Regions from separate parts of the Mus musculus genome. Here all the other regions are reported to be linked to region 1. Evidence: microRNA targets listed by miRTarBase, many of them from high-throughput screens and not tested one by one. Region 1 holds a microRNA gene; each other region holds the end of a gene's coding sequence.

Region 1 (7,120 bases):
CGTCTATAGGCCCCTCCCTCTTCTGTGTAGGATCTGTGCTTCAAGTCCTACCTTCTCCACGTTGAGAGCAGAGGTGTAAGTCCCCTCTCTCCTACCTCAGGGTCTACTCTGTAGTTCATTAAAATTGTCCATTGCACCAAAAAAAAAAGAGAGAGAGAGAGAGAATTCCACAAACTTTCCCTATAGAGACAAAAGGCTAAAATGGCAAATGTGCATACTCCAGATTTAGTCAGGACCAAGTCTAAGGCCACACCAATGAGGTAGGGGTATGAAGAAGAGGGCATCTTATTGATACATAGCTTGGCTTGGAAAGGAGCAATCAAGCTACATCCTGGACCTAGGATACCTAAGGAATCCATGACATGGGGAATCTAGGTGATTAGACCTCATGGTTAGCTCAGATAATTGCAGTAGGATTTGGTTGTTCTTGAGGCAGCTTTGCTACAAATGTTAGTTTAAAAAAACAAAAAACAAAAAAAAAACCAAAAAAACAAAAAAACAAACAAAAAAAACCGAGTGCTCATTTCCTTGCCTTATAGTCAGTGGATCAGAGTCAGGTGAAACTGTTGGCTGTCTGAGGTTCATAATCTCAGGAGATCTCAGGATCCCGCTCCAAACACAGATGCTCAACACTTAGGCTGCAGATGCTCAAACTGAATCTCAGATGCTTTAGGGAAATCCTCCAAACTTTGGCTTCGGCCAATTTTCTATTCTAGGGTGTTTAGCAATGTCCCTTGCTTCTATAGCATCCTCCACACAGTTTAAAATGTCTCCAGCCATCACCAGCTATACCTAGTAGCTGAAAACCCGTGCTAGAGGTTTAGTGCGCATGGGAGCCTTTTAGAGCCCTGGAGCACGGGCCTCAAGGGAGGGGTCCAGGAAGCAGGTCTGATCCTTTGTATCCCTGGCTAGGCACGCATCGAGGAGCTGGAGGAGGAGCTGGAGGCAGAGCGCACAGCCCGGGCTAAGGTGGAGAAGCTGCGCTCTGACCTGTCCCGGGAGCTGGAGGAGATCAGTGAGAGGCTGGAGGAGGCAGGCGGGGCCACATCCGTGCAGATAGAGATGAATAAGAAGCGCGAGGCCGAGTTCCAGAAGATGCGGCGGGACCTGGAGGAGGCCACGCTGCAGCACGAGGCCACGGCGGCGGCCCTGCGCAAGAAGCATGCTGACAGCGTGGCGGAGCTGGGCGAGCAGATCGACAACCTCCAGCGGGTGAAGCAGAAGCTGGAGAAAGAGAAGAGCGAGTTCAAGCTGGAGCTGGATGACGTCACCTCCAACATGGAGCAGATCATCAAGGCCAAGGTGGGCCCTCTCAGCAGCTCCCCTCCTCCCTGCCAGTCGTGGCCCTTTCCACATTCACCTTTCCTCTGCTCATTAATGCCTGCAGGCCAACCTGGAGAAAGTGTCCCGGACACTGGAGGACCAGGCCAATGAGTACCGCGTGAAGCTGGAAGAAGCCCAGCGCTCCCTCAATGACTTCACCACACAGCGAGCCAAGCTGCAGACAGAGAACGGTGGGTGCCCCTTACCGTCCCCTAGCCTGCCCCTGGTAGCTTTGGTTTCCCCCTTCCATGGCCCAAGAACCCTTCATTCCACCTGCAGGGGAGTTGGCTAGGCAACTGGAAGAAAAGGAGGCATTGATTTCCCAGCTGACCCGAGGCAAGCTCTCCTACACCCAGCAGATGGAGGACCTCAAGAGGCAACTGGAGGAGGAAGGCAAGGTGAGGCCCATATAATGGCAGTGGGACAGACTCCGTGGCATCACTGGACACACTGTTACCTCCAAGAGTGCACCTGGATGCCAGAGGTAACCTGGTAACCTATCTCCCTACTAAATGGTCAGCCCTCCTGATCATTTAATGACTCCTTATTGGTAAAGGAGAGAGGTAGGCAAATGGAAATCACTCAAAGACATTGAGACTCCACTTCATGTGGGTGAATCTGGGTCTTGACTGAAGTAAATACGCATAAGAATCTAGAGACTGGAGGGTTGGGTTTGCTCCAATCTCCTTGATGCCCACCTCTTCCCAGGCCAAGAACGCCCTGGCCCACGCACTGCAATCATCCCGGCATGACTGTGACCTGCTGAGGGAACAGTATGAAGAAGAAATGGAGGCCAAGGCTGAGCTACAGCGTGTCCTGTCCAAGGCCAACTCAGAGGTGGCCCAGTGGAGGACCAAGTATGAGACGGATGCCATACAGAGGACGGAGGAGCTGGAGGAAGCCAAGTGAGTCCACTGTGGCTGCCCCTGGATTTGCCAAGAGAATGGAGCAGAGCGTCTGCTGTGGAGACAGGCAGAGTAGATGCAGGAAAGAGCTTTGGGGTGGGAGAACAGAGGATGGGGAGACCTGGTGAGCCATGGGAGTGTTTGGTAGAAAGCCTGAGTCCTGCAACCTGTAACGCCTGGCTGGCCCTTGCTTACTTCCTTTGACGGGTGAGCTTTTGGCCCGGGTTATACCTGACACTCACGTATAAGACGAGCAAAAAGCTTGTTGGTCAGAGGAGCTATCATCATGCAGCCTGGGCCTGAGGGAAGCGGGTGGGGGTGCACAGTCACACAGATGTGATGTATGTGTGGGAGAGTCTGAGCAGCCTGTGATGGACGTCTCTGTTCTAGGCTCCAGTAGCCCTCACATCCTCTAGGCTGGGGTTCCAACATCTTAGGGAACTGTGGGGAGAAGCTGGGTCTTTCCCATCAACACTCGGAAGGAGGAGATCATCTCACGTCCTTGTGGCTCCAAGTACAGTCACATACATTCCCCTGGACAGGAAGAAGCTGGCTCAGAGGCTGCAGGATGCAGAGGAGGCAGTGGAGGCCGTCAACGCCAAGTGTTCCTCCCTGGAGAAGACCAAGCACAGGCTGCAGAATGAGATCGAGGACCTGATGGTGGACGTGGAGCGCTCCAATGCCGCCGCCGCAGCCCTGGACAAGAAGCAGAGGAACTTTGACAAGGTAGGCTCACGGTGGGGCTGCAGACACTGTGCATGCTGCTGGTGGGGTCAGTGCCAGCTCAAGGCCACAGCATGTTCCTTGGAGGTGGGGGAGGAGGGCTGAGTCAGGAGAGGGGCCTGGGCAGTTCTGGTCACAGGGCGCTCCTTCCCTGCAGATCCTGGCTGAGTGGAAGCAGAAGTATGAGGAGTCGCAGTCAGAGCTGGAGTCTTCCCAGAAGGAGGCGCGCTCCCTGAGCACAGAGCTCTTCAAGCTCAAGAACGCCTATGAGGAGTCTCTGGAGCACCTGGAGACCTTCAAGCGGGAGAACAAGAACCTCCAGGGTGGGCGAGCTGGGGGACAGGGAAGAGCCTCAGGGAAAGGGAAGTGGGGCAAGGCATATTGATCTTTCTGGTCCTCTGATCCTCAGAGGAGATCTCAGACCTGACTGAACAGCTGGGAGAAGGGGGGAAAAACGTGCACGAGCTGGAGAAGATCCGCAAACAGCTGGAGGTGGAGAAGCTGGAGCTGCAGTCAGCCCTGGAGGAGGCTGAGGTAAGGGCCTAACTAGGCACTCTCCAGCCTGTCCTGCTGTATCCTGTCTTACCGCCTCACAGAAGTCACCCTGACCCCAGGACACAAATCTATTGGCTCCCATTCTTAGTAGACAGTCACCATGGGTATTCTTAGATACCCAGGAACAATGACTTCCCCCAAAGTTGAGTTCCTCACATTGTACAATGCCACAGTCTGGTTTGTAGGACAGAAGGCTTGCTTGCTTCCTGGCTGGAATCGGGCTATCATAATATCAGCTCAAACCACTGGGTAGGAACACAGGCTCCAGGGTCAAATGACCTAGGTTTGAACCCTGTCTTGAGACCCTCTGTGTGCCTTGCTGCCCTCATCTATAAGATGGAATTAATGTATAAACCTCATAGGATTATGTATATGATAATTATGAAGACTGAGTAAAATAACACAGTCAAGCACTTACTAGCCATGCTTGCTGCGCATTTCTAAGAACTTGGGACAGCCCGGGATTAGGGCTATAGACACTTCAACCTTTACTGTGATTTTTTGTTTTTAGTCAGATGGGTCAGGAACTCCTGCTATGTTAGTCCCAAAGGCCTGATGACTGAGAAGTCTTAATTCGGCTGTAGAGATGGCTCAACCATTAAAGGCTAGGCTCACAATGAAAAATATAAGAGAAGTCCTAATCCTCTCCTTTATAGAGGAAGATCCAGGAGTCAGGCCCTGGAGGCTCAGCACTTTCTCTCCCACAGTCGTCTAGGTACAGGACCTATCACCACAGCACCTTCCTAGGCCACAGTCCTAGTCTGCCATCCTCTCCTTCTCCATACCCAACCCAAGTCAGCCTTAGTTACCCACCTCTGACTCCTCTCCGCTTTCCAGGCCTCCCTGGAGCACGAGGAGGGCAAGATCCTCCGTGCCCAGCTGGAGTTCAACCAGATCAAGGCAGAGATCGAAAGGAAGCTGGCAGAGAAGGATGAGGAGATGGAGCAGGCCAAGCGCAACCACCTGCGGATGGTGGACTCCCTGCAGACCTCCCTGGATGCGGAGACACGCAGCCGCAATGAGGCCCTGCGGGTGAAGAAGAAGATGGAGGGCGACCTCAACGAGATGGAGATCCAGCTCAGCCAGGCCAATAGAATAGCCTCAGAGGCACAGAAACACCTGAAGAATTCTCAAGCTCACTTGAAGGTAACAGGAGCCAGGCCTCTAGAAAGTGGTAAGTCAGAATATGTATAGTGCCCAGAAAGATGATAAAGGTCCACAACACACCACTCTGAATATAACCCAATCTTGTCTGCTCTTGGAAGCTAAGAGGGCTGAGACTGGTTAATGCTTGAATAGGAGATAGTAAATGACAGGGAATAAATGGACTAACGTAAGTATGAGAAAGTGGGAACTTTCTGCCTCCTGGGTTTGTAGGCACGAGGAACAGTGCACTCTGGACCAGTCGAGCCTCAGGACAAGAGAGTAAGATAATGAAATAGGTGCTTATCTTCCTGATGACAAGAGGTGACGTGTGCCAGACTCAAGATGGAGGTCTGTTGGCATGAGGTCCAGGCCCTTTACCATCATACTTTCCCCACAGGACACCCAGCTCCAGCTGGATGATGCTGTCCATGCCAATGACGACCTGAAGGAGAACATCGCCATCGTGGAACGGCGCAACAACCTGCTGCAGGCGGAGCTGGAGGAGCTGCGGGCTGTGGTGGAGCAGACGGAGCGGTCTCGGAAGCTGGCAGAGCAGGAGCTGATTGAGACCAGCGAGCGGGTGCAGCTGCTGCACTCGCAGGTGACAGAGTTGGGGACCCTGTGCAGAAACCCACTGAGAGTCAGAGACCGGGATAATTTTAGACCAAGTCAAGCGGCATTGCAAAGTATCTCACTTCTTGGGTCAGCTCTCATCTGTTAGTAGCAGCTGGGAGAACCATTGTCTCCAGCAAGAGGAACAGACTTAGAAGCTAAGTGTGTCACGGCTGAATGGTAGTGCACCTGTGAGTCACAAATCTGGGAACCACAGATTGCCTTTTGTCATCTGATACCCTGATCTACAAGACAGCCTCCAACTTGATTTGTAAAGATAGGAGCTGGGGAATTTAAAAATGTGTAACTGGGGCTGGAGAGATGACTCAGCAGTTAAGCATGTTTACTGTTCTTTCACAGGACCCCAAAAATTTGGTCCACAGCACCCAAATCAGGTGGCTCACAATCTCCTACAACTCAATTCCAGAAGATCTGAGGCCTGTGACCTCTGTGGGCACCTGTACTCACATGTACATATTCACTCATATGCTCATGTGCATGCACACACACTACATGTGCACACACAGATATGTACATACACACTCACACATACACATGTATACACACATATGCACACACACATACACACATGTACACACACATACATGCACATGCACACACATACATACACAGATATGCACACACATACACATGTGCACACACATACACATACGTGCACATGCACACACATGCACGGGTGGGGGAAAGACATTTTTAAGAAGCAGAACTACATCCTCTTGCCAGGCAAACGATGGGAAGAACACTGCTATGCACATTCCCACTGTATCCAGTCCTACTCCAGATGAGTGTTTGTGCTGAACTATTGCAGTGCCTTCTGTGGCTTTGTTCCATAATTTAGCATATTAGAATATTCTGGGGGCCAGGCTTCTTTAATTTTCTATTAGTGTTATTTGTACATGTTTACATGTGTGCACATGGGTGCACAAGACATGTGCACATATATGTGCACGTGTGAGGAGGCCAGAGGTTAACACTGGGTGTCTTCCTCTGTCATTGTCCATCTTATCTTCTGAGGTGAACTAACTATCTCACTGAATGTGGGGCTCACCAGCTGGATGGGTGGGCTGACCAGTGAGCTTCAGAGTTCCATCTGGGTCTGACCTCTGGTCACTGAGGTTACAGGTGTGCACCATGACATCAGCTTCCTCATGGGTTCTGGAGATCTGAACTCAGACCCTCATGCTTGAGTGGCAGGTGATTTTCTGCCCAAGCCATGAGCCATCTCCTCAGCCTTAGATGACTTTTTCATCTTTCCCCTCTCCCTCTTCCTCCTTCCCTTCCTCGTCCCAATCTTCCTCCTCTTCCTCCTTCCCCTCCTCCTCCTGCTCCTCTTCCTCCCTCTCCTCCTACCCCTCCTCCTCTTCCTCCTCTCCCTCTTCCTCTTCTTCATCCTCTTCCACCTTCTTCTTTTTCAACAGCCTCTTTTAATTTTTTCTGAAAAAAAAAAAACTATGGAACTAAGCAATAAAGTGTGCATTTGATATTTTTTTCTAGAACACCAGCCTCATCAACCAGAAGAAGAAGATGGAGTCAGACCTGACCCAACTCCAGACAGAAGTAGAGGAGGCAGTGCAGGAGTGTAGGAACGCAGAGGAGAAGGCCAAGAAGGCCATCACAGATGTGAGTCCCCTCCCCTGCCTACCCACTCCAGAGCAGCATCTCCCTAGCCTGGGCAGTGAGCCCACGAGGACCTGAGCAGACCACATGCTCTCCTCTCCCACACACAGGCCGCAATGATGGCTGAGGAGCTGAAGAAGGAGCAGGACACCAGCGCCCACCTGGAGCGCATGAAGAAGAACATGGAGCAGACCATCAAGGACTTGCAGCACCGTCTG
Region 2 (7,120 bases), not on the chromosome of region 1:
TTCAAGATGGGAATTTTTTTTTAAAGATTTATTTATTTTTTATTATATGTAAGTACACTGTAGCTGTCTCTGAAGACACACCAGAAGAGGGAGTCAGATCTCGTTACAGATGGTTGTGAGCCACCATGTGGTTGCTGGGATTTGAACTCAGGACCTTCAGAAGAGCAGTCGGGTGCTCTTACCTGATGAGCCATCTCACCAGCCCCTTCCCTTTTTTAATATGGCACCTTTTCCCTGTTCTTCTTTCTCTAAAAGCCATTTTTTAAAAAGAGCATATGAGTGTCTTGCCTGCATTTACATACACATACTACATACATGCCTGGTTACATACACATACTACATACATGCCTGGTTACATACACATACTACATACATGCCTGGTGCCTGAAGTTCCTGTTGTTGAGAACACTTCTTTAGTAACCTACAGAGCAGGTAATTATAATTCCAATTCAAAGAACATTCTTCTAAAGAGCAATTTATTTCTTTAGACAGGGTTTCTCTGTGTAGCCCTGGCTGTCCTGGAACTCGCTCCATAGACCAGGCTGGCCTCGAGACTCAGATAGATTGATGAACAGATAAATGAACACAATACTTTCCGGGAACAACGTGTCCCTAATGTGATTTTTTCCACACATCTCTGTAAGGACAGTTAACTAACTACTTCAAGGGAAAATAAAACCCCAAGGGAAAAAACAAACATCAATGAAGTACTTCACAAGTTCACTGTGTACTTTTGAATTTCTGTTTAAATTTATAGCCCTGTTTGGCCATGACAAGGATAAGCCTGATAAAAAGACTAAGAACTGTAATTTATAACGCTATTTTCAATGCTATCTGAAAATGAACATATACTGCATAGCATAATAAAGCAATATAAGGGATTTTTCCTTTCCTTTCCTTTCCTTTCCTTTCCTTTCCTTTCCTTTCCTTTCCTTTCCTTTCCTTTCCTTTCCTTTCCTTTCCTTTCCTTTCCTTTCCTTTTTTCTTTTCAAGACAAGGCTTCTCCCGAATAGCCCTGGCTGTCCTGGAACTCACTCTGTAGACCAGGCTGGCCTTGAACTCAGAGATCTGCCTGCTTCTGCCTCCCAAGCTTTTAGATCAGGATTTATCTCTAAAGTTAAAACCCGATGCAGACAAACCTCCTCTGCCTTTCAGACAGACAGAACTCCAGAACACTTTCAGCATCCACAAACCTGAATTTTCTGTTAACACTCGATGCTGAAGACAGTCTGTCAGTCACTGTGACAAAGTTCCTGTGGTGTCTGCCCTGCTTCTCTGTCTTAGCATCCAGACTTCACAACCCAGGACTCCTTCCTCAGCCCAAGTGAAGCTTTACAGAAAGTAACAACAGTCCTGACTTGCTGCAAGCTGAAGGACATGGACATGTTCTCTGTTACTAATAACGAACAATAAAGGACATCAATTCACAGACTTCAACATACATATTCAGACACATAAAGAAAAAAAAATACTCAGCTGCCACTAATAAAATGAGTTTACTTTATTGTAAAAGTTTCCCAAAACACACATGCAGAGCCACCCACATTTGGGGCTTGAGATTTAACAGAGATTTTATAAAATTATTTCCACTTAAAGTATTAAAGTACACAGAGTTAAAAAATATATATTAGAAGGAAAAAAATGTTAAGTCAAGGTTAATCGGCAGAATTCCCACTAAAAGACTAACTTGAGAAGTACTTAGGAAAAAAAGATACTTTCTTTTCAGAAAAAATTTAATCTTAGGGTATGTTTCTTAAGAAATAGTACAAACCACAAAACAATGACCCTCTCAAATTTTACCTGTTTCACAAATAAGTCAACCTAAAAGGGAGAGGTCAGAGGACACGCTTTGGAACTTGTGTTCAGATTTCTGTATTTAGATCTTCATTCGTTGTCTCCCCCGCCCCTCCAATGGCAGACAATATTCCAATGAAAAAACCCTACAGTTAATATAAGACAGTATTATAGTAATACCATTAAGGTTCAGGCATTTCTCCAAATGTACAAAAGAGAAAGAAGACGATGTAGCCAAGGGCTGACGTCATTTTAGAGTAGTTACATGTTTTATAATACTGTGGAAGTCTTTGGTGGTGACACATGGAATAAGATCCCTGAAAACACATGAGGAGTTAGTTCTGTCCCAGACCTCTATGTGCTAAAGTGTTTATTGCTAGAAACGATAGCAAGATCTCATTTTTTTAGCCCTAGAAAACACACACAGTGTGTGTGGAGGGGACCTATGAGGAACTGAGGTGGCCGTAGACAATTGTTTATGTAGTAATCAGCTTATTTCTGGTTCCTTTTTGTTTTTCACAGGATTTTTTTTTTTTAATTTCAAATGATGTGTGTATGTGTATCCGTGAGAAAGAATGTTCACATGCACGTAGGTGCCCTTGGAAATCAGAGGAAGGTATTGTACCCCCAGGAGCTGGCACTGCAGGCTGCAGTGAACTAAACACCTGGCTTAGGCACTAAGAACTGAATCCAGGTCCTCTGTAAGAGCAGTATGCATTCTTAAAACAGAGCCATCTCTCCAGCTATGGCTCTTCTTAATACCAGAAAGGAAAAAGAAAGACACAGTATAGACATATCAATTTTTATACTTAAACAACAGCTAAGTACGGGGAATGTTAGTGATCATGCTGAACGACTGGATACTAAGATGAAATGCTAGTAGGCTATAATTTTTGGATACATGTCAAAAGGCAGAGAGAAACAGTGCCTTAAACCGGTTTGTGCATTCGCGTGCTGGTGCTCCAGTTGGCAGTGTGGGTTAAGTCAAGGCACTGTGGTCTATGAATAAATTTACATCTCTTGAAAAAATCAGCATGCTCAAAAGCAGAAACAAACAAGGTGACCCGGTCCTCTTTAAGAGAAACAGAACAAAACAGCGCTTTAGCTCAGCATACAGAGTTCAAAGAAAAGGGCATGCTATGACATGAGACCTTGGGGACAGAAACAAAGCGGGGTAGGACAGTCATCAAGCGCATATGAGCATGTCTACAGCAGGGACAAGCCCGAGCAGGGACCAGGACCGGGAGGGTGAACGGCAGTGAGCAGGTCAGCCAACTTTAGCTCCGAGTCAGGCGGTATCTTTGCTTGAGAATTTTGATTCTAGAACGTGATATTTCTCCCAATTTAAAACGCCTGTGAAGTAGGGTATGGAGCCACACACCTGTAATCTCAGCACTTAGAAGGCGGAGGCATAATGTTGTTGACTCTAGCTGCATATGTATCAAAAGATGGCCTAGTCGGCCATCACTGGAAAGAGAGGCCCATTGGACACGCAAACTTTATATGCCCCAATACAGGGGAATGCCAGAGCCAAAAAATGGGAATGGGTGGGTAGGGAAGTGGGGGGGGGGGAGGGTATGGGGGACCTTTGGGATAGCATTCCAAATGTAATTGAGGAAAATACATAATAATAAAAAATATTTAAAAAAAAAAGGCGGCGGAGGCATCCAGAGTGACCATATACTGGAAGTAAGCCTGGGCTACACAGTGCATTTCAGGCTGGCTAGAGTGAGGCTTAGTCTCAAAACAACTTGGGCATGGTGGGACACACCTCTAATGGCAGCATCTGGGAGGCAGCGGCAGGTGGAGCTTTGTGAGTTTGAGGCCAGCCTGACCTACAGAGTGAATTCCAGGACAGCCAGGGCTACACAGAGAGACTCTGTCTCACAAAACAAAACACCCTCCACCCAAACAAACAAAAGTCAAAAGAAGAAACAAATAGTATACAAACTCATTAAATAATAATAAGTTTGTTTTAACTATCTTTTTTTTTTTTTTTTTTGGTTTTGGGATTGAACTCAAGGCCTTGTGTACCTCAAGCATGGTGTCTATCCTTAGCTCCTAAGGGTAAGTTTAATACTGATACTGGACTTGAATATGATACAATCTTGCCAATTTGTCCCCATGGAGACAAAGTAACTTACTGTACTTATCACATCACCTTATCAGGTAACACGGCCTCTGCAGGGAAAACCACCCATGCCGCACAGCATTGGTTCAGAGCAGGTCTGGTTCATGAGAAATGAATACATCCTGTCCAATAATTTATTGTGGGACTTTATAGATGTTTGAATAGAAATTAAAGAATCCTTTTCGAAAGGAAGAGGCTATTAGTCAAAGCAAAGTAGATGGAGATACAAGATTAAATTGGGGAGGAAAAAGATTGAATTTTTATTTCGTGTTAAAAATATTAACAATGTGATTCTGTGTAGAAAATATTCGTAGTATCAAGAGGTCATTGTGTGTGTGGGCCATTCAGGCACCCCCATGTAAGCATTGTTTGATATTGAAAATTTGATTATTCATCACCCCAATATGATTTAGTGTCCACAATGTCCAGTTAGTAGGGCAACCTAAAAGGAGCTGAGTTCAATCCCTCTAAATCTGTTAGATTAAAAAGAAGGCCTTTAGCCTGGTCTCCAGAGTGAGTTCCAGGAGAGCCAGGGCTATACAGAGAAACCCTGTCTCGAAAAAAAAAAACCCAAAAATAAAATAAAATAAAATAAAATAAAAGATGGCATTTTTCTGGAAGCCTGTTACGTAGCATCAATGGTGTTTGTGTTTTACCCTGACACTCATTTTCAGAGAATAATCTCAGGCAGAAAAAGATCTAAAAGATGTTAGTCATTGCTGGGTCTGTAAGGCAGCATAGGCCTCTGCCGAGCTCAGGAGCTGAGTGTGGGCATTGGGAAGTCCATGAGTTAGAAAACACTAAGTGCTACATTGGTCTGTGACGCTTCCACAAAATCAATCTATCTATCTATCTATCTATCTATCTATCTATCTATCTATCTATCTATCTAATATCTATCTATCTATCTATCTATCTATCTATCTATCTATCTATCTATCTATCTCTATCTAATGTGCATTGGTGTTTTGCCTGTACGCATATCTGTGTGAGGGTGTCAAATCACTTGGAGCTGGATTGCAGACAGTTGTGAGCTGCCACGTGGGTGATGGGATTTGAACTCAGGACCTCTGGAAGAGCAGCCAGTGCTCTTTACCTCTGAGCCACCTCTCCAGCCCCCAAAAGCTTTTTTTTTTTTAACCTAGAATAACCTAGAATAATTTGCTGTTGAGAAAAACCACATCAAATTCAATGATGGAAACTGGTTAATGTTTAAGATAACTTCTCAGATGTCCGGAATATAACTGAAGGGCATTTAAAATGAGCCAAGTGTGATAACGTCTGTTATCCCAGCAATGGCGAAGTGGAAGCAGGACGAGGATCAGGGAAGAGACCCTACCTCAATAAAACAAAACAAAAGACTACAAACTTAACAGTTATGTGTCTATAATGGGCTGAATGGATTTACCAAACGAAACAAACCCATAGGAAAAGGAGATGACGCGGTTTCAAGGCATGATCTTGACATGTCGGAATATGACAGACAACAAAACAGACAGCATCAGGAAAATGTAAATGTACAGTTGTAAAATAAGTAAACAATTTTCAAGTGTGCAAAACTAGCCAGGAAAGTGCTATGTGGACACCTGGTTTTCAAATCATTTGTTTAAAAAACTTTCAGCGTCTAAGGCTTAAGGAAGGACACAGCCCCCTCCTATGGCAATGACACTGGCTCCTCAGGGGCTGTCACCACTCTCCTGTGATAGATGCAGGCAAGATGATGTAAACAGAATGCAACACCAGAACGGCAGGCAGGTGTGTCCTGGAGCAGAGACTTTTGAAGTCTGCCCTGGGTCTAGCTAGGCTTTATCCTTAGGCCCTAGGCACTCAGTGTTGCTGCTGACATCAGGGACGCGATTCTCGGTCACTTTTGTTATCTACACGTACATTTACAAACCTTACATAACTAAGTTTAGCAGTTAAACATCTAAAAGTAATTGTTAAAGAAACACAGACCATTTAAAGTCATTGCGTAAATCCCATCCCTGCCACACTCTGAAGATTTAAAGTGTTAAGCCCTGAATACATCAGGTTAGAAAATGAAGTTGATCTGTTAGCGGTTTATTCATCTTGGGAAGGGCAAGGTGTAGACACTAAAAATACACTTGCGGTCTCTTCTTCACTTTATATTTTAGTGAGCCATACCGCACCTGAAGAAAGAAAAGTGTTAGGGTTAACAATAGGAAAGCCAAAATGACTATGGAAAAGCCGTTAAGGATTTGTTACTCTGTATACTGGCTAAACCAAACTAAAACAAACAAAACTAAAGGGACTGACTACTTTTTAAAATTAGGAAAGTTTTAATATTTTGTCGCCATAGTAACGGTTTTACTCATCTGGCATAAAGAATCAGCTTCTTTGTCAGCTGCTTGGGAGACCCAAGCCTGATGACTGTAAGTTCAGGATCTACCTGGGCCTGGGCCACAGAATGACAACTTACTGAGTTCTTACCTCAAAATAAAATGTGCTGCTAATGTAGCTCGGAAGTGTCGTTCTTGCATAGCCTGCATGGGGTCCTTGTTCAATTCCTAATACAGCACCCAAGTCAATTATTCAACCAACCAATTAATCAATCAAAAATCAACCAACCAACCAACCAACCAACCAACCAGTCAACCAGCCATCAAAGCAACCAACCAATCAACCAACCAACCAACCAGTCAACCAGCCATCAAAGCAACTCCCTGGCAAGCAACCTCCTTATTAAGAACTCCCACAGACATGTAGCTTGTGATGTGATGGGTGTGTGTAGCACGTGACATTATCAATCATAGATAAAGACACTGACTTAGTACTTATGTTTGCTGAGTACTAAGTCAGTCAATGAGCCTGGCTCCTCCTTCATTTTCTTAGCCCAACGACACCGTGTGATTACAGGTAAATTGCTACTATTTAATCATCACATAGGGCTTCTTGAAAGCAAAACTATGCAGTTAATTTTGTCAGCAGCTTTCTCTGCTCGGGCACAGAGAAAGCAATAGAGATTTACAAAAGCCATGGGGTTTGCTGTGTGGGAATGACACTTTTTCTATGTAGAGCACAAGATAAAAAAAAGTTTCCTATTTCAAAATTTCCAGGAAAAAAAAAATTGTCCCTAGAGATCCCTAATACACCTGCTTTTAATAAAGAATTTGAACTATAACGCTACACTCTCATTTGAATCCTTCGTCCGCTGATCACTTCACAGCTGTGATG
Region 3 (7,120 bases), not on the chromosome of region 1:
CAACACCATTGTAAAGGTCAGGTACAATGGCTAGCTGGAACAGTAAGTTCCAGGTTCAACAGGAAACCCCATCTCAGCCGGGTGTGGTGGTGCACGCCTTTAATCCCAGCACTCGGGAGGCAGAGGCAGGCGGATTTCTGAGTTCGAGGCCAGCCTGGTCTACAAAGTGAGTTCCAGGACAGCCAGGGCTACACAGAGAAACCCTGTCTCAAAAAAAAAAAAAGAAACCCTATCTCAAAAAAGAAAGTAGATTGCAACAGAGGAAGACTCCTGGCTTCAGCTTTTTGTCTTCAAATGTACATACACACATAGAACAGATACACCCAGAAAATACAATTTAAATCAATTTGCTTGGAATCATGATCAGGAAATTTCCTATGGATGGCCATAAAACCTACCTGTCTTGGAGCATATAGTACTCTCCCATTTATATAATAAGGGTAGGTCAGCTTTCTCAGCAAAGGACCAGAAAGCATTTTGGACTTTGCAAACTAGTCAGTTTATATCTGCTCAACTTCGTTGTGGTAATGCAAAAGGAGAAAGTCAGAACTATGCTCAGAAACAACCCTTGGGCCAGACCATTGAGACTTGAAAAGTAAGCCCACAACAGCTGTAGAGAATAGATTATAAAATGACAAAATTGCTTACAATATTAACCATTTACATATCTTTCTGAAAAATAATTACCTCAGCTGGTCTTGGCTGAACTTAAATTTTGCTGAGGGAAACATACCTACTAACTTCTATTGAGTGATGAAATCTACCTCAAAGTCTTAGTCATATAAACTTATCCCTAGCGCGAGTGTAGATGGGTATTTTATATACACACATATCATCTCCAGTCTGTGCAGAACAAGCTGATTTCTGCCTGGTCACCTGTTGCCTCTGCACACCTTAAGGCTTCCAGCAGTGAGGAGGCTGAGTACTGATGCTGCATCTTAAACACCATTTGAAATCTGGCTTTGTCTTTTGTTTCTTAGATCAAGTCTCACTGTGTAGCCCTGGCTGGCCTAGAACCCTCATGCAAACTAGAAAGCCCTCAGATTCATAGAGATCCCCCTGCCTTTGCCTACCAACTGCTGGGATTAAAGGCAGGTGTCACCACACCAGGCTTTGAAATCTGTTTAGATTGAGGTTGTGACTGCCTGTAACTCATAGTATATCTATCCATTTATGTGTTATAGAGTCTGCTTTCTGTGCCACACTTCATAAAATTGGCTTTTAAAATATGTATCCCTCTTGGAGCTGTCTTAAGGGACTCAGCCAAACCAGCAGTTTCTGTTTCTGCATGTTTCTCATCTTGGGTTTTCCTTATTTTCTTACAGCAAGAAAATAAAGGCTTGAGAGAGATCCTTCAGATAACTCGAGAATCCTTTTTGAACCTTCGGAAGGATGATGCGTCAGAGAGTACGTCTCTATCTGCCTTAGTGACTAACAGTGACCTGAGTCTGAGGAAGAGCTGAGTGGCTTTCTGTGCGGTCACTAGAATGGGCCCAGAAGTGAGTGGATGAGTGAACATAAAGCCCAACTTCAGTCAGCCTTTTCCGTCTGGTATGTACAGGGACACTGGCAAAGAGACGGCAGCAGAATGTATAACCAGTGGTCATAAACTAGATCCCAGTCACAGTCAGAAAGGAGACGCTGAGCCACAGAGTGAACAGCGAGTCTTCAAGGTGCTGCTGAGCACTGCAGTTTCAGAAGTGCTGTTGGCTTCTTAGATGCTACATAGATCACCCTGAATACTCCTAATAAATGTTGGAAAGCCTAAATTATCACAATTTTAAAAGTAAGGTTGGTGTGGTTTTCTGAATGGAAGACTTTGTTCTAAGTCTTACCTTCCTGTTCAGTGTCAGAGTTGGCATAGCTTGTGTACATAAAGCTGCTGAGTTGGTGCTCACCTGCCCATTTGCTCGGCCCTCATCAAAGGCAGTTCATGTTTAAAGACTATAGGAATACGTCACTTGCATCACAAACAGAAGGAACATACTTACACCTAATTCCCATAACTCTTAGCTAGCAGTTATTCACGACTTGCTTAAGTGTATGCATCTCAGGAAAGAAAGACAAAGAATATACTTTCTAAGAAAGACAGCCATATATAGACACATTTAGTAGGTTGAACTACTTTGAAAGATTATGTTTTGGTTCTCTGTTAACAATGAACCTGGTTCTTCCTCCTCTTTTCATCATGTTTAAGGATACAAGACAGTTCACCAATAGACAAGAGTTGACAATTTAATGTAATGAGATAGGTATGGTCATTTCCAAGTTAATTTGGAATTCCTTTATTGTTATTTAAGAAATTACTCTTCATACACTTACAAAGTAGATACAGGTTCCAAAAATCAAAGTTCTGAGTCTGAGTCTAAGCCTCATCTAGTTCTTATAACCTGTGAGGTTTTTCCTACAACCTGTGACTCAGAAACTGGCAGTGAAGTGTGGACACAAAGGGATTGTGCTTTGCACTTTAAAAAAAAAAAAAGCTTCTTAAGGCCACAGGATACAGAAGTGTGCTTTCATACCAACTGCAACCTAAACTTTTCTGTAGTGATAAGAATAAAAGATTATGAGATATGGCTGAAAATACACTATACTTGTATCTGAAGTCCATACTGAAATTAGCACAGACAGAAAGTTAGACTTTTCAATATATCATTTGTTAAGTACATATTACTTTGCAGTGTAATTTTATGTGTAATTTCATGTATTGGCAAAATTAAAAGGACTTTTCACTCCAGAACCTTTCATTCTGAAGTTTGAGGTGAGTGGGGTCATAGGTCAGTTAGGAAAGGGCCAGTTCCCCAGATGTTAAACCGTTCTCATGCAGAGGCCTTAATATTTTATATATAAGTGAATTTACTTTTAAGATTTTTCTATTGTTTTTTGGAAAGTAACCCTTAATTTAATGGTACTTTCTTTCATGTAGTTTTGTCCCAGGCCAGAATTTTAAAAAGAAGAAAAGCGGCACAGACGAGATGAGTCAGATCGATGTATTGAGCAGGTCTATTGTGAAACGTTATTTGAGAAGTAATTATTTTTATAAAAAATTATTTATCCTTTGTTTTCTTGGATATAATTTTAAGGTTGTGAATATTGAAAGACATTTGCTTTGTTTTTAGCAAGTTTTCCACCCCACCCCCATCCCCAAAATAAACAGCTTTAAGCTTACATATGAGAGTGTGCTGAAGAGGAGCCTATTTTGTCAATAAAGATGAGTGTTTAAAACTGGTCTGGTCTCAGGGTTAATTTAAAAACAAAGCTCACATTTCTTAAATATACTTTGTGTCTTTGCTGAGGGGATAGGTGGTGCTAGGGTTTAAACCCAGAACTTTATATACAAGAGCTCTTCTAAGCTGCATACTCAGCTCTTCAGCCTATTTGGGGGGGGGGGGGGCGGGTAGAGGGAGGGGCTGTTTGTGCCAGTGCATTTGTGGGTATGTGAGTGCATGTGTGTTTGTGCACATAACATGCCTTATTCCTGTATAGTGCTGTGACTCCCCTCAATTTTTCCAAGGTCTCACCCAGTCTATAACCTGCATAATATTTTAATGCCCCGGGACTCTCAGACTCTCAGACTTACAGCTCCTGCTTAGAGTTCTCATAACCTCCACACTAATCTGTGTGTAACTACCATAGAGACATTTCAGGCTGAAATTGCCCAAAGCCAAACTCCTCATCCCCAAACTTCTAAAGTGTTCCCCATCCTTGCAGGGCACCTTAGACTTTAGTTTCTTTTATATCTTGCATTGAATTTGTTAGCACGTCCTGCTGGCTGTTTATGCAGGAACATACCTGCTAGCCCTAGTCCAAGCCACAGCAGAGTAGATAATAACATTCACCCTTAGGCTAGGCAGTGGTGGCACACACCTTTGATCCCAGCACTTGTGTGGCTGAAGCAGGTGGATCTCTGGGAGTTTGAGGCTAGCCTAGTAGACAAAATGAATTCTAGGACACCCAGGGCTAAACCATGTCTCCAAAAAAAAAAAAAAAGAACAAAAACAAAAACTAAGAAATCATTGTCAGGACACTTGGTGTAGTATAAAGCAACAGAAAAACCAAAGGCCACATAATAAAAGTGTTAAGTTACACACCTACAGGGCTTGGGAGGTGGCTCAGTTGAGACAGTGCTTGCTCTACAAATATGAGGGCCTGCTCTTGTATTCCTCGAACTTATACAAAAAGCACTGTGACAAAGCCTAGAATTAGGGCCTAAACAGTTCTCAGGATCCTGGGGAAATTCAGGTGGAGGCTGACTTGGATCAGCAGGCTTGGCCACTTTGACTCCAGCATTCTGGTGACTAGGCTCCATTCATTTCTTCAGCAAGCCCATGTGCTTAACCTGGTTTCCCCAGTGCTTGCTTTAAGCTGAGCCTCCTTTGCTTCCCATCTGTGTGGATACTCAAATTGAAGATTTAAAAAAAACAAAACAGTACAGTGTAGGCATTCCATATATACCTCTGTATGTGCTGTGAGTCTTGTTTAAATCACTAGATATTTAATAGCTCTTATTCTTATCTGGAGAAGGCATTTGAGCTAGAACCTGGCAGGGCCTTGCACAGTCTTTACCACAGAGCACATCCTCAGGCCAGGCCACATTCATCTTTACCCTTTATCTTTAAAGGAGAGTGAAGGTGTAACCACAAATATAACTAGCCAGTCAGTCTCTTCCCACAACCTCATTCCCGACCCAGAACTTACTGTACATTTCCTCTGGGTCAGAAACCTGCCTAGTTATTTTTTAAGGTGTATGTACGAACAGCTGAAATTGTACAGGAATTGTTTAAATATAAATAGTTGTCTGTGCATGTGGGACACATGCCACAGTGCACACATGCCTTGGCACATGCTCTGGAGACCAGAAGATGATTCTGTGGCAACAGTCCTCTCCTTCCACCTTTATGAGCTGCAGGGACTGACTTCAGGTCTCCAGATTTGAGGTCAGGTGCCTTTACTCCCTGGGCCATTTGTGAATGAACCACATTTTCTTTATCCATTCCCCAGTTGAGGGACATCTAGCAGCTATTACAAATAAGGCTGCTATGAACATGGTTGAGCAAGTGTCCTTGTGGTATGGTGGAGCATCTTTTGGGATATGTGCCCAAGAGCGGTATAGCTGGGTCTTCTGGTAGAACTATTTCCAATTTTCTGAGAAACCACCAAACTGATTCCCAGAGTGGTTGTAAAGGTTTGCACTCCAGCCAGCAAAGGAGGAATGTTTCTCCACATCCTCATCAGTTTAGTTCTGTATTAGGGAAGATTAGATATTGGAGGTGGATGGAGGGAGGGAACTGACTGGGTAAGGGGATGGGGGAAGCAACGGGGTGGGGGTGGGGGTAGGAATCAGGTGTAGGGAGAGCAAACAAGAGAACAGAAATTGGTGGTGAGCAGTGGCAGGGCATCTCCAGGACCTGCTAGAGAGTCTATGGGGGTAACTAGCTGAGACTCATAGTGGCGGGAGATATGGAGCCTGAATTGGCTACCTCCTATAGCCAGTCAGGACTCCCAACAACCCACACACAAAACTTTAGCCCAAAACTTGTCCTACCTACAAGATGTGTACAAAGATGGAGCGAGACTAAGGGAATGGCCCAACTTGAGACCCATCCCATGGGCAAGAACCACCAGTCCCTGACACTAATTAATGATGCTCTGTTTATGCTTGCAGACAGGAGCCTAGCATTACTGTCCTCTGAGAGGTCCCACCCAGAAGCCAATGGAAAGAGATGCAGAGACCCACAGCCAAACATTAGATGGTTACATGAAGCACAGGGAGTCTTGTAGAAGTGTTGAGGTACTGATGGGCTCAAAGGGGATAGGAACTCGACAGGAAGACCAACAGAGTCAACACACCTGGACCCTGGGGGCTCCCAGAAACTGATTCACCACCAAAAGAGCAAGCATGGGCTGGACCTAGGCCCTCCACACATATGTGCAGATGTGCAGCTTGGTCTCCAACAAATGGAGCAGAGTGGAGCGGGGAAGGCTTACCCTGACTCTTGCCTGTCTGTGGATTCTATTCCCCCAGCTGGGCTGCCTTGTCTGGCCTCAATGAGCTGCGCCTAGTCCTGCAATGACTTGATGTTCCAGGGTGGGGTGATAGCCAAAGGACCTCCTCCTCTGAGGAGAAGAATAGGGGATGGGGGAAGGAGCTGTGGGAGGGGGGGGCTGATATTGGGATGTAAAGTCAATAAATAATGAAAAAAAATGAGTAAATACATTTAAATCTACATAAACCATAACATATCACCCTGGATTCCCTTCACTTCCTGTTATCCTTAAGTGAAGTTCTTAAAACAACTGTATTTTCCAGATTAAATTTATATAAGTACATACAAGACTGGTATAAACTCCTGGAGACATCCTAATAAGGAGGACATTAAGCATTTTTTTCAAAGTAGGTATTTATTACAAAAATTATACAAATGGTATTAAAAATTATGAAAATTTACAAATATTTTGTATTTCCCTCCGAGAAAGCATACTCTGCCTTTTTTAGCTCTGACTGGCAGTGTGTTCCGACAGTACAAAGAATAGTTCTCCAACAATCTGTACAACTAAAATGCAAGCATGTGACAAGCCAGAAACCCTATAGCAATTAAAATATATATATATATTGCTGAAGCTAGGTAGTAATAACAGAATAGGATTTTCAGAAATAAACCAAAAGGGGTTCATTTTATAATTTTTCATTATGTTTTAACTTCAGAACCTTTTTTCAAAGCCACAACTGAAGACTCCACCCACTCCCTGAAATGTCAAGGCTATAGTCATTGCTGTGAAGAGACTAAGAAGCACACCACTGACAAACCAGCGCACTGTGGGCCACACACGTCAGGGAAGCCAGTTCTCAGCCCTGCCGTTCAGAGGAGTCAAGAGCATGTCCCTCCTTACAGAACCCATGGTGGTGGCTAAGTGATCAATCCCTCTGAGCTTCAGAGCACAGGGGCTTTGATTATACAGAGCAATCATTAGCACAACTTCACAGGTGCTAGGAAGGTCTCATTGATGTCTCTCTGACAAAATACGGTCCAGTCACCGTCTAATGCAACCTAAGAAAGAAGGGTCAGCAGCCAACACTGCTCTAAATGGCCCCAACACAAAATGGGCTATAAATAACTTA
Region 4 (7,120 bases), not on the chromosome of region 1:
TCTTTCTGTCCAGTGGTTTTTTTTGATCTTTCCTGAAGGGAAACACTTTCCTGGACTGTTGGCAGGGCCAAGTGAGTTTACAAGTATACAATGGCTTAACACTTCCTCTTGTAAAAGTTGCTAGATTTAAGACTGGGCAGCTGACGCTAAGTCTGGTAGTGTGGGGCTAGAGAGAAGCTGGCAGAAGCCATGGTCAAGTGAACGTCATCGGGGAAGGAGGCACAGTGCTCTGGGGTGATGGGTAAGGGAAACCTCCATAGCAATTTTCAGCCAATAAGAAAAAGACACCAACAGTCTCTACTCGACCTAGATCCCAGATGTGCTCATGAGAACAGCTGCCTCACCAGGACAAAAGGCTAGAAGACTTGGCCGCTACTCAGCTGCAGTCCCTGGATGCTGCATCTGCTTCATCAAGAGTCCAGACAGGAAAGCCAGTGGAGATTCCCAAGGGCAGCGTCTCCATGCAAGACGGAGAGGGAGGCCAGACCTCAGACTACACTGAACCCTCTGGAGTTTGAGGAAAAGATGAACTCACACGAAGGAGCGGACATCACCAAGCCAATGACATCCACAGAAGGCAACAGTTCTCACCATGGAAGCCAGGTTCATGATGTTCTTCCAAGGAATCCTATCCACTCGTTGGCTGACTTCTGGCGAGATGTGCACCAGAGGTGTTCAGAGGCCTCACTGAGGGTGGCTGGAGTTTTATACAAACTTTAATTGGGAAGGAATAGCCATCCCCAAATCACTGGCAAGATAGGTACTGAGTCTTTCCTTTTTTTTTTTTTAACATCTTACTGAATTGTCTGGACTGGTACTGCAGCTGAAGACTCATGGTCCTCCACACCTTCTCTAAAGATGGTGCTGGACCTCTGGACCTTCACATGGCCCCCAATGCCACCAAACAGACTAGGACTTAGAGAGTCCTTGGCTTCTAGGTGCATGGCTTACAGCGCAGGTGGGCTGCTGGATTTGAGCTGAGCCCAGCTGTGGAGAAACACAGCCTGGGTTAGAGAGTCTGTTGAAGCACATTCCTCCTCCAAAGTCACACCTGACCAGTAGTCCCCTGGTCCTGTCACCAACAGCTAGGAAAAGCCACAGCTTTTAGGAGGAAATTCTACCCAAACTCCAGACATCAGCTGGTAGAGAACCTTGTCTGCTGTCTGGCAAATGCTAGTGTGGATAAGCTGTTCCCTACATGAGAGTCAGGGCTGGGGTGTGGGTTCAGCAGGGCTAAAATCCATGTGACCACACAGACCACATCTGGCGAGGATTTGGGAGATCTACGTGTTCTGTGGGAGAAGCTGGAAACACTTGAAAGGAGGGAGAAAGGCGAACACCTTGAGCCGTGACCTGTGAACGCAGCGTTCTTGTGCCACCCGATGCTCCCAGGGCCCTTCATGTCTCAGAGCTTCAGCAGATTCATTCAAGACAGGTTCACAGTGAAGTCAGTGGGGTCACGAGCCACCTAACCCACCAGCCAGAAAACCCAAAGGCATTTATGGGTCAAGATGGCACACAAAAGCCAAGCACCGGGGTAACCTCGTACTTGGGAAGATGGGGAAAGAGGATCAAGAGTTCAAGGCCAGCCTGGACTATTTAGTAAGACCACACTCCTCCAACCCCTCCCCCCCAAAACAATGAAACTGAAAAGTAATAAAGCTAAACAGAGGATGGGGTACAGAGCATCTGTGCTTGCCTACTTCCCCTGTCGGAAGAAGTGCAAAGGAAGAGAAAGTTCCAGAGCCACGGACTGGAAAAGATAAGCCAAAGGCCACAGGCACCACCCATTCAAAGCTGAAGAAGACCACTGAGAAAGAGGCAGGGAAGGGTCCTCCCTACCATGTGCCTGCAGGGGGCAGCAATGAGGAGCTGCCCAGCTTGGCACCCAAGATGAGCTTGTGGGTTGGGATGGTGACTGCAAGGTGAGATACAGCGCTGATTCTTGGGCCTCCTGCCCTCTCATTGCAGCCAGATGACTGTCTTGCCTCCTATTCATAGAGGACTCGCAGGGCACAGCCCAGGGACAGAAGCAAGGCAGGAGCAGCTTCAAGTGGTTACACAGTGATTCCTGAGACTGCCTGCTTCAAGGCCAGAACACAGAACTCAGGGGTATCTGGGTCCCATCCTATGGTTTGTGCTTGACACTAAGGCACCTGGCCAAGGGAGCATGTGGGGGTTAAAACCCATGCTTTGTCTTACCTGAGGGCTGTGTCTGCTCAGAGATAGAGAAAACAGCTGTCCTCTGCCAACTAAACCAAATATGGATGGTGGGTGGCTTCTGCCCAGAGGGGGACCACTACTAGTATTGCACAAGTGTACTACATGGGCTAACAGCCCTGTGTGTATCCCTCTTTTCCAGGCAGAGGAGTGGCAGGAAGCTCTGTAAGGAAATGGAATAAGCCCCAGAAGAAACATTTAACTACTGACATGGCAGCCTCTCAGAGCTAAGCCAGCTCACTGGGCGACACTGGACAGAACCTTACCAGATGGTTGTCAGAACATCCTGCCAGCTCCTGGGTGTATCGCCCTGAAACATGAGTAGATGCAGGTATCTGTGCACAATGTGAGAGACAGCGACCCAGCTCAACCGAGAAAAATGGACCTTAGAGGACCCAAAGGCACATCTGAGGGCAGACAATGTCCCCCCTCCCCCCAAACAGCTGCGTCAGCCACAAAGAAGACTCACACTCCTGAACCAAGAACAGGAGGCTACACAACAAAACTCAGAGAACAAGGAAGAAGTCTTAGAAGCTAAAAATAAAACATTCTTGGAAAGAGAAGATGGAGCAAATCCCCTCAGAAGCAGATACAGACAGAGGTGAGGGATTTAAGAGACAAAAAAACGTTAGAAGACAAGCCAGGGAGGCCCCATACTGGGGCAGCCAGGGGCTCAGAAAGAAAGAAATTGTAAGAGGATTTAAGGAGTTTCCCATGAGGACCCAGAATAGGTGCCACAGCAAAGGACAGGACACACTCAGGTCAGGCCACCAAGAGAAAGGAGACTGGGGATGTCAACCAGGGAAGGGAGAGTCCTTGTCTTGTACAAAGGCATGGGGCAGAAACGGCATCGGAATCTTAAGTCTGCCACTGGAAAGCAGCAGCAAGGGCTATGTTGCCACCTGCGGAGCTACACCCAGCCACACAGTAGGGCAGGAGACAGACATGTTAAGTCATGGAACAAAACAAAACAAAACAAAACAAAACAAAACTAAAGCTTTTTATTTCTCACATTCCATTTCTCGAAAAGTTGGTGAAAAACAGACAGAGGGGGGGGGGACACAGAAGGAAGAGGAAGAGAGGACACAGAAGGAAGAGGAAGAGAGGACACAGAAGGGAATAGTAGGAGAAACAGCTGAAAGGTAGACAAAAGGGACTATGACCACAAATGAGCCTCAGGGGCAGCTGCCCTTGTTTCAAACCTACAGCACTTTCTTATTTAATAGATGCTAACTAAGCAAGGCTGGAGACGTGATTCAGTAGTTAAGCGCACATGATGCTCTTGCACTGGACCCTGATTCAGTTCTTCATACCCACAGAGGGGATCTGATGCCTTCTTAGGGCCTCCATGGGTACCTGCATTCATGCGCGCGCGCGCGCACACACACACACACATTCACTCACTCTTTAAAAATAAATTTTTTAAAAGATGTCGAGTGACCAACAGCTTGCCAGCAGCTTTCCATAAGTGGTCTCTTCTACATGCCCCTACACTCAAGTGAGATTATTTTTCCCTTTCAACTAGCAACTTCCTGCCAGTTTGAGCCGAATGATGCTTGGGCATCTTGCCTGTAGTAGTTTTAAAGGCTGTTCTAAGCCACAGGAGGCGAGAGAAGCAGTATGCGCAGACTTCGGACCAAGGTCTAGACCCATAAAATAAACGATTCACATCTGGGCCAGCTCCTCTTTGGTACCTCATCTGGGCAAGGACCCTGCAGTGTGCGAGGTCATAAAACATCACACATAAAACCTTTATCATCTGTACTTTTGAACTTCCAATGGGACCAGGGAGCTCATTAAGTCGTTCACTTTCTTTGGAGCTTTGGGCCTTTAACCTGGAAGTGTTCCAAGCCCCCAACCTCTCTCCTCTTAGAAAGCTTCAATTCTTTTTTGGGGGGAGGGGGAGGCAGACGCCAATCAAAATGGCTGAGAAGCCAAGTTTTTAACTGTCCTGACTCAATGTGCTATGTAAATTGTCTGAGTCGTTGGTTTGCTTAAGGAGAATGACTCCTGGGTGAAGAGCAGCGTTCATGTCAGATGCAAGATGTGATGCCTCATTCCCATTGTATCCATGGAAACACACCTCTGGAAGTGACTCTGAGGGTCTTTCCAGAAAGAGGCAAGGCTTGCCCTGAATGTGGGCAGCACCATCCCCTGGACTGGGGGTCCCAACCTGAACTAACACACACTCTTTCCCCCCTTCCCCTTCCTCTGCCTCCCGATACAACATGACTAGCCCCCTCACATTCCTGCTGCCACGATGCCCGCTGTATGATGGATCGCATCCTGGAGCTGTGAGCCCCTAGACCCTCTCCTTTCTTCTTAAGTTGTTTTCTCAGTTGCTTTGTCACAGCAACAAGAGTAGTAACCAACACATAAGCCTTTACAGCCGTCAAGAACATTCTAGAAGGAGCCCAGGCTAAGCTTGGAGGTTAATAAAAGGTCTAAAAAGGACGGCTGTGTTTGAGTGAGGACATTTGTGTACCTGGCTGGACGTTTTCTACAAAGAAAAAGCAATAGTTCCAGACTCGGGGGCCAAGTGGCCTGGGGGCTAGTGACCAGTCTGTGATAGGCTGTGTGACCTTGGCCAGCCTGTTCTGCCTCTCTGAGTTCAGAGATGCTCCCTGAGGCCCATTCTGGACTAACGGTTTGTGGTTTTATAAGGGCTGCCTAGTGTGTTTTTTTTGGGGGGGGGGTTCGAGACAGGGTTTCTCTGTGTAGCCCTGACTGTCCTGGAACTCACTTTATAGACCAGGCTGGCCTCGAACTCAGAAATCTGCCTGTCTCTGCCTCCTGGGTGCTGGGATTAAAGGCGTGCGTCACCACGCCCTGCTAGTGTGTGCTTTTTGAGAGGGATAGCAAGGGCAAGAAGAAGCTGGAGCTTTGCCAGACTTGAGCCTTCGCAAAGTGGACAGGGGACACTGGGGTAGGTAGGGGCCGAGGAAGACAGGAGGGTGAGAAAAGAAACCTTTCTCTTCCTGCAACCTGCCTGCCCCAGCCTATACCCTGGTCCTTTCCAGAAAGCCTTTGCAAGATCTCTGTTTGGTTGACCGCAAAGGATGCTGGTGCCAAGGTACGAATGCCTCCTGAGCCCAGAAACCTGCAGAAACCCTCCCAGCGCCACCATTTGTGGGAGCTTATTTTGGCTGGGCCACTTCCAGCCCCCTGGGGCAACCTCATGCAGCCCCTCAAAAAAGACAGGTTCCATACAGAAGACTCAGCAGAGGAAGGGAGAGTCAGGGCTACCCCAGTCAGCCAGAGCCTTGCTTTGCATGCAAATCTAGACTGGCTTTCATCTGATAGGAGGTCCTACTGATGGGCAGGTTTTAAAACTAGAGCCGTACCTCAATTCAATCAATAAAAAGGCGAATTAAAAACGCAACCCTCCAAGAACACCAAGGTGAAAGACGAATGGGTTGTAGCTCACAACAAACCTGGCAGAAACACCCTCTTCTTTGGAGTCTGCCAATGGCCGGGTGTAATTTCCAGTGAACGGGCAGGTATGTGCTGTTTAAGTCCCCAGCAATGGATGACCAGGCTGGGGCAGGTTATCGCTCAAACACTCACACTTGAAGGCAAACAGGGTACCGTTCTTCCTACCACAGACTCCGCTCTTTCTCAGAGTTGGGCAGGCCCTCCCCTGAGATAAAAGGAAGTAACTCAAGCTCCTCCAGGACCTTAGGAACCTGCATGTGCACATGTTAAGACCCAGGTTTGGGGTACACATTAGTAAGGACTCGCATCTGACCAAACAAGGCACATAAGGAGGAATCGCGTCCACAGATCCAGCCTCAAACCTGAGCTGGGAGCACACAGTCTGGAAAGAAAGCATGCTCTCGGGGGGGGGGGGGGGCTGGGAGGGGGGCTTAGAGAATCAGAGGACATGTGAGCAAAGACTGAACCGGACAGCAACAGGGGGTGTGGGGCCTGTGCTCCCTCTGCCGTCTTCCATCTCTGCACAGGTGGCTCAACCCTGAACAGACAGTAAGATGCGGTAGAAAGACTCCGCCCTGGCCAGGGTCCTGTCTTTTTATTCTCCAGACACATGTTTCAGAGCCGGCTGACATCAAGCTGTGGGAAGAGCAGTAAGCAGTAAACGAGGAGCCAGAGGAAGAGAATGAAATATATCACGTCGGGCTGCTGTACAAACTGCGTCAGAGAGTCGTTGGGCGGGCTCTGGTTCCCCAGGGGCACAGCTTCTCCAGAGGAGTTGGTGCCAGTCCTGCAGAAGGAAAGAAAGGGACAGGATGGTTATTGGTGGGGTCCCTATGATTGGAAGACCATCCTGAACCTCAACCCCACAACCCATCCGCAGATAAAGGCTCCCATAATACATCAGGGAGGTCCCCATTTGTGTGTGTGTGTTCCAGGAGAGGGAGCTCCATCACCACTCCCTAACAGAAGGAGCCATGCCAACCATTTCACAAATGACCACAGTGACAGTCATTGGGCAGCAGTTGTCAAAGGCCACACAATTACTTCATGATAGAGCTGAGCCAGGTCTCCTGGGACAGTTCAGGAGGAGGTAGGACTGCCAGCTCTCACCTACCTACGCCTCAGTTACTAAAGGGACTTTGGCTGATAATTTCAAAGCAGCTACTGGGGACAAACAAGTCAAGTCACCCCAAGTTTTGCCTTTGACAGGTTGCCTTCAGAAGCACTGTCAGCTTTGATTTGGGTCAGAGTTACCTTTCTTTTAGGTGGTGGGAGGGGGGGTTTAACAAGTGAGCCAGGTTGCTTTTGCCTGGCAGGTAATGAACGGGGTGCTAACTGGAGGGAATAGGTGGTGGCAAAAACCAACCATCCCAAGGAAAGGTAGGAAGGGGTGGGTGGGGAACTGATACACAGAAGCCTGAAGTATGAGCTGCACAGGGCCATTTTCATGTCACAGCCCACAGGG

The links. Region 1 holds the annotated microRNA mmu-miR-208a-5p (GAGCUUUUGGCCCGGGUUAUAC, at 2,438-2,459, shown strand). A microRNA usually pairs through its seed, bases 2 to 8, with sites in the 3' UTR of a target mRNA and lowers its output. Matches are read on the target gene's strand: a 7mer-m8 pairs with bases 2 to 8, a 7mer-A1 pairs with bases 2 to 7 and ends in A, and an 8mer does both.
Region 2: the mRNA of Reep3 is a reported target of mmu-miR-208a-5p. Seed matches in the 3' UTR shown: 7mer-m8 at 5,049-5,055.
Region 3: miRTarBase lists Fgfr1op2 as a target of mmu-miR-208a-5p. Seed matches in the 3' UTR shown: 7mer-m8 at 2,479-2,485.
Region 4: miRTarBase lists Clmn as a target of mmu-miR-208a-5p. Seed matches in the 3' UTR shown: 7mer-m8 at 3,216-3,222 and 7mer-m8 at 1,100-1,106.

The regions. Positions count from the first base shown.
Region 1 is chr14:54,944,446-54,951,565 of GRCm38, reverse strand. It overlaps Mir208a (microRNA 208a), which reads left to right and starts at 2,424; the gene lies at 2,424-2,506. It overlaps Myh6 (myosin, heavy polypeptide 6, cardiac muscle, alpha), which reads left to right. Exons shown (of 39, transcript NM_001164171.1): 26 at 913-1,302; 27 at 1,388-1,514; 28 at 1,603-1,721; 29 at 2,032-2,228; 30 at 2,771-2,954; 31 at 3,109-3,274; 32 at 3,361-3,485; 33 at 4,344-4,652; 34 at 5,050-5,253; 35 at 6,780-6,905; 36 at 7,013-7,120. Gm52092 (a long non-coding RNA gene) reads right to left here and starts at 526. Exons shown (of 3, transcript XR_003950992.1): 1 at 52-526.
Region 2 is chr10:67,007,712-67,014,831 of GRCm38, forward strand. It overlaps Reep3 (receptor accessory protein 3), which reads right to left. Exons shown (of 8, transcript NM_178606.5): 8 at 1,478-6,075. The coding sequence ends at 6,019. All of the region lies in intron 1 of Gm31763 (predicted gene, 31763), which reads left to right. Among named protein-coding and RNA genes, the nearest start is that of Gm31763, 6.2 kb to the left of the region's middle.
Region 3 is chr6:146,595,970-146,603,089 of GRCm38, forward strand. It overlaps Fgfr1op2 (FGFR1 oncogene partner 2), which reads left to right. Exons shown (of 7, transcript NM_026218.2): 7 at 1,326-3,229. The coding sequence ends at 1,463. Tm7sf3 (transmembrane 7 superfamily member 3) reads right to left here. Exons shown (of 12, transcript NM_026281.2): 12 at 6,307-7,120. Among named protein-coding and RNA genes, the nearest start is that of Fgfr1op2, 22 kb to the left of the region's middle.
Region 4 is chr12:104,765,522-104,772,641 of GRCm38, forward strand. It overlaps Clmn (calmin), which reads right to left. Exons shown (of 14, transcript NM_053155.2): 14 at 1-6,442. The coding sequence ends at 6,271. Among named protein-coding and RNA genes, the nearest start is that of Dicer1, 17 kb to the left of the region's middle.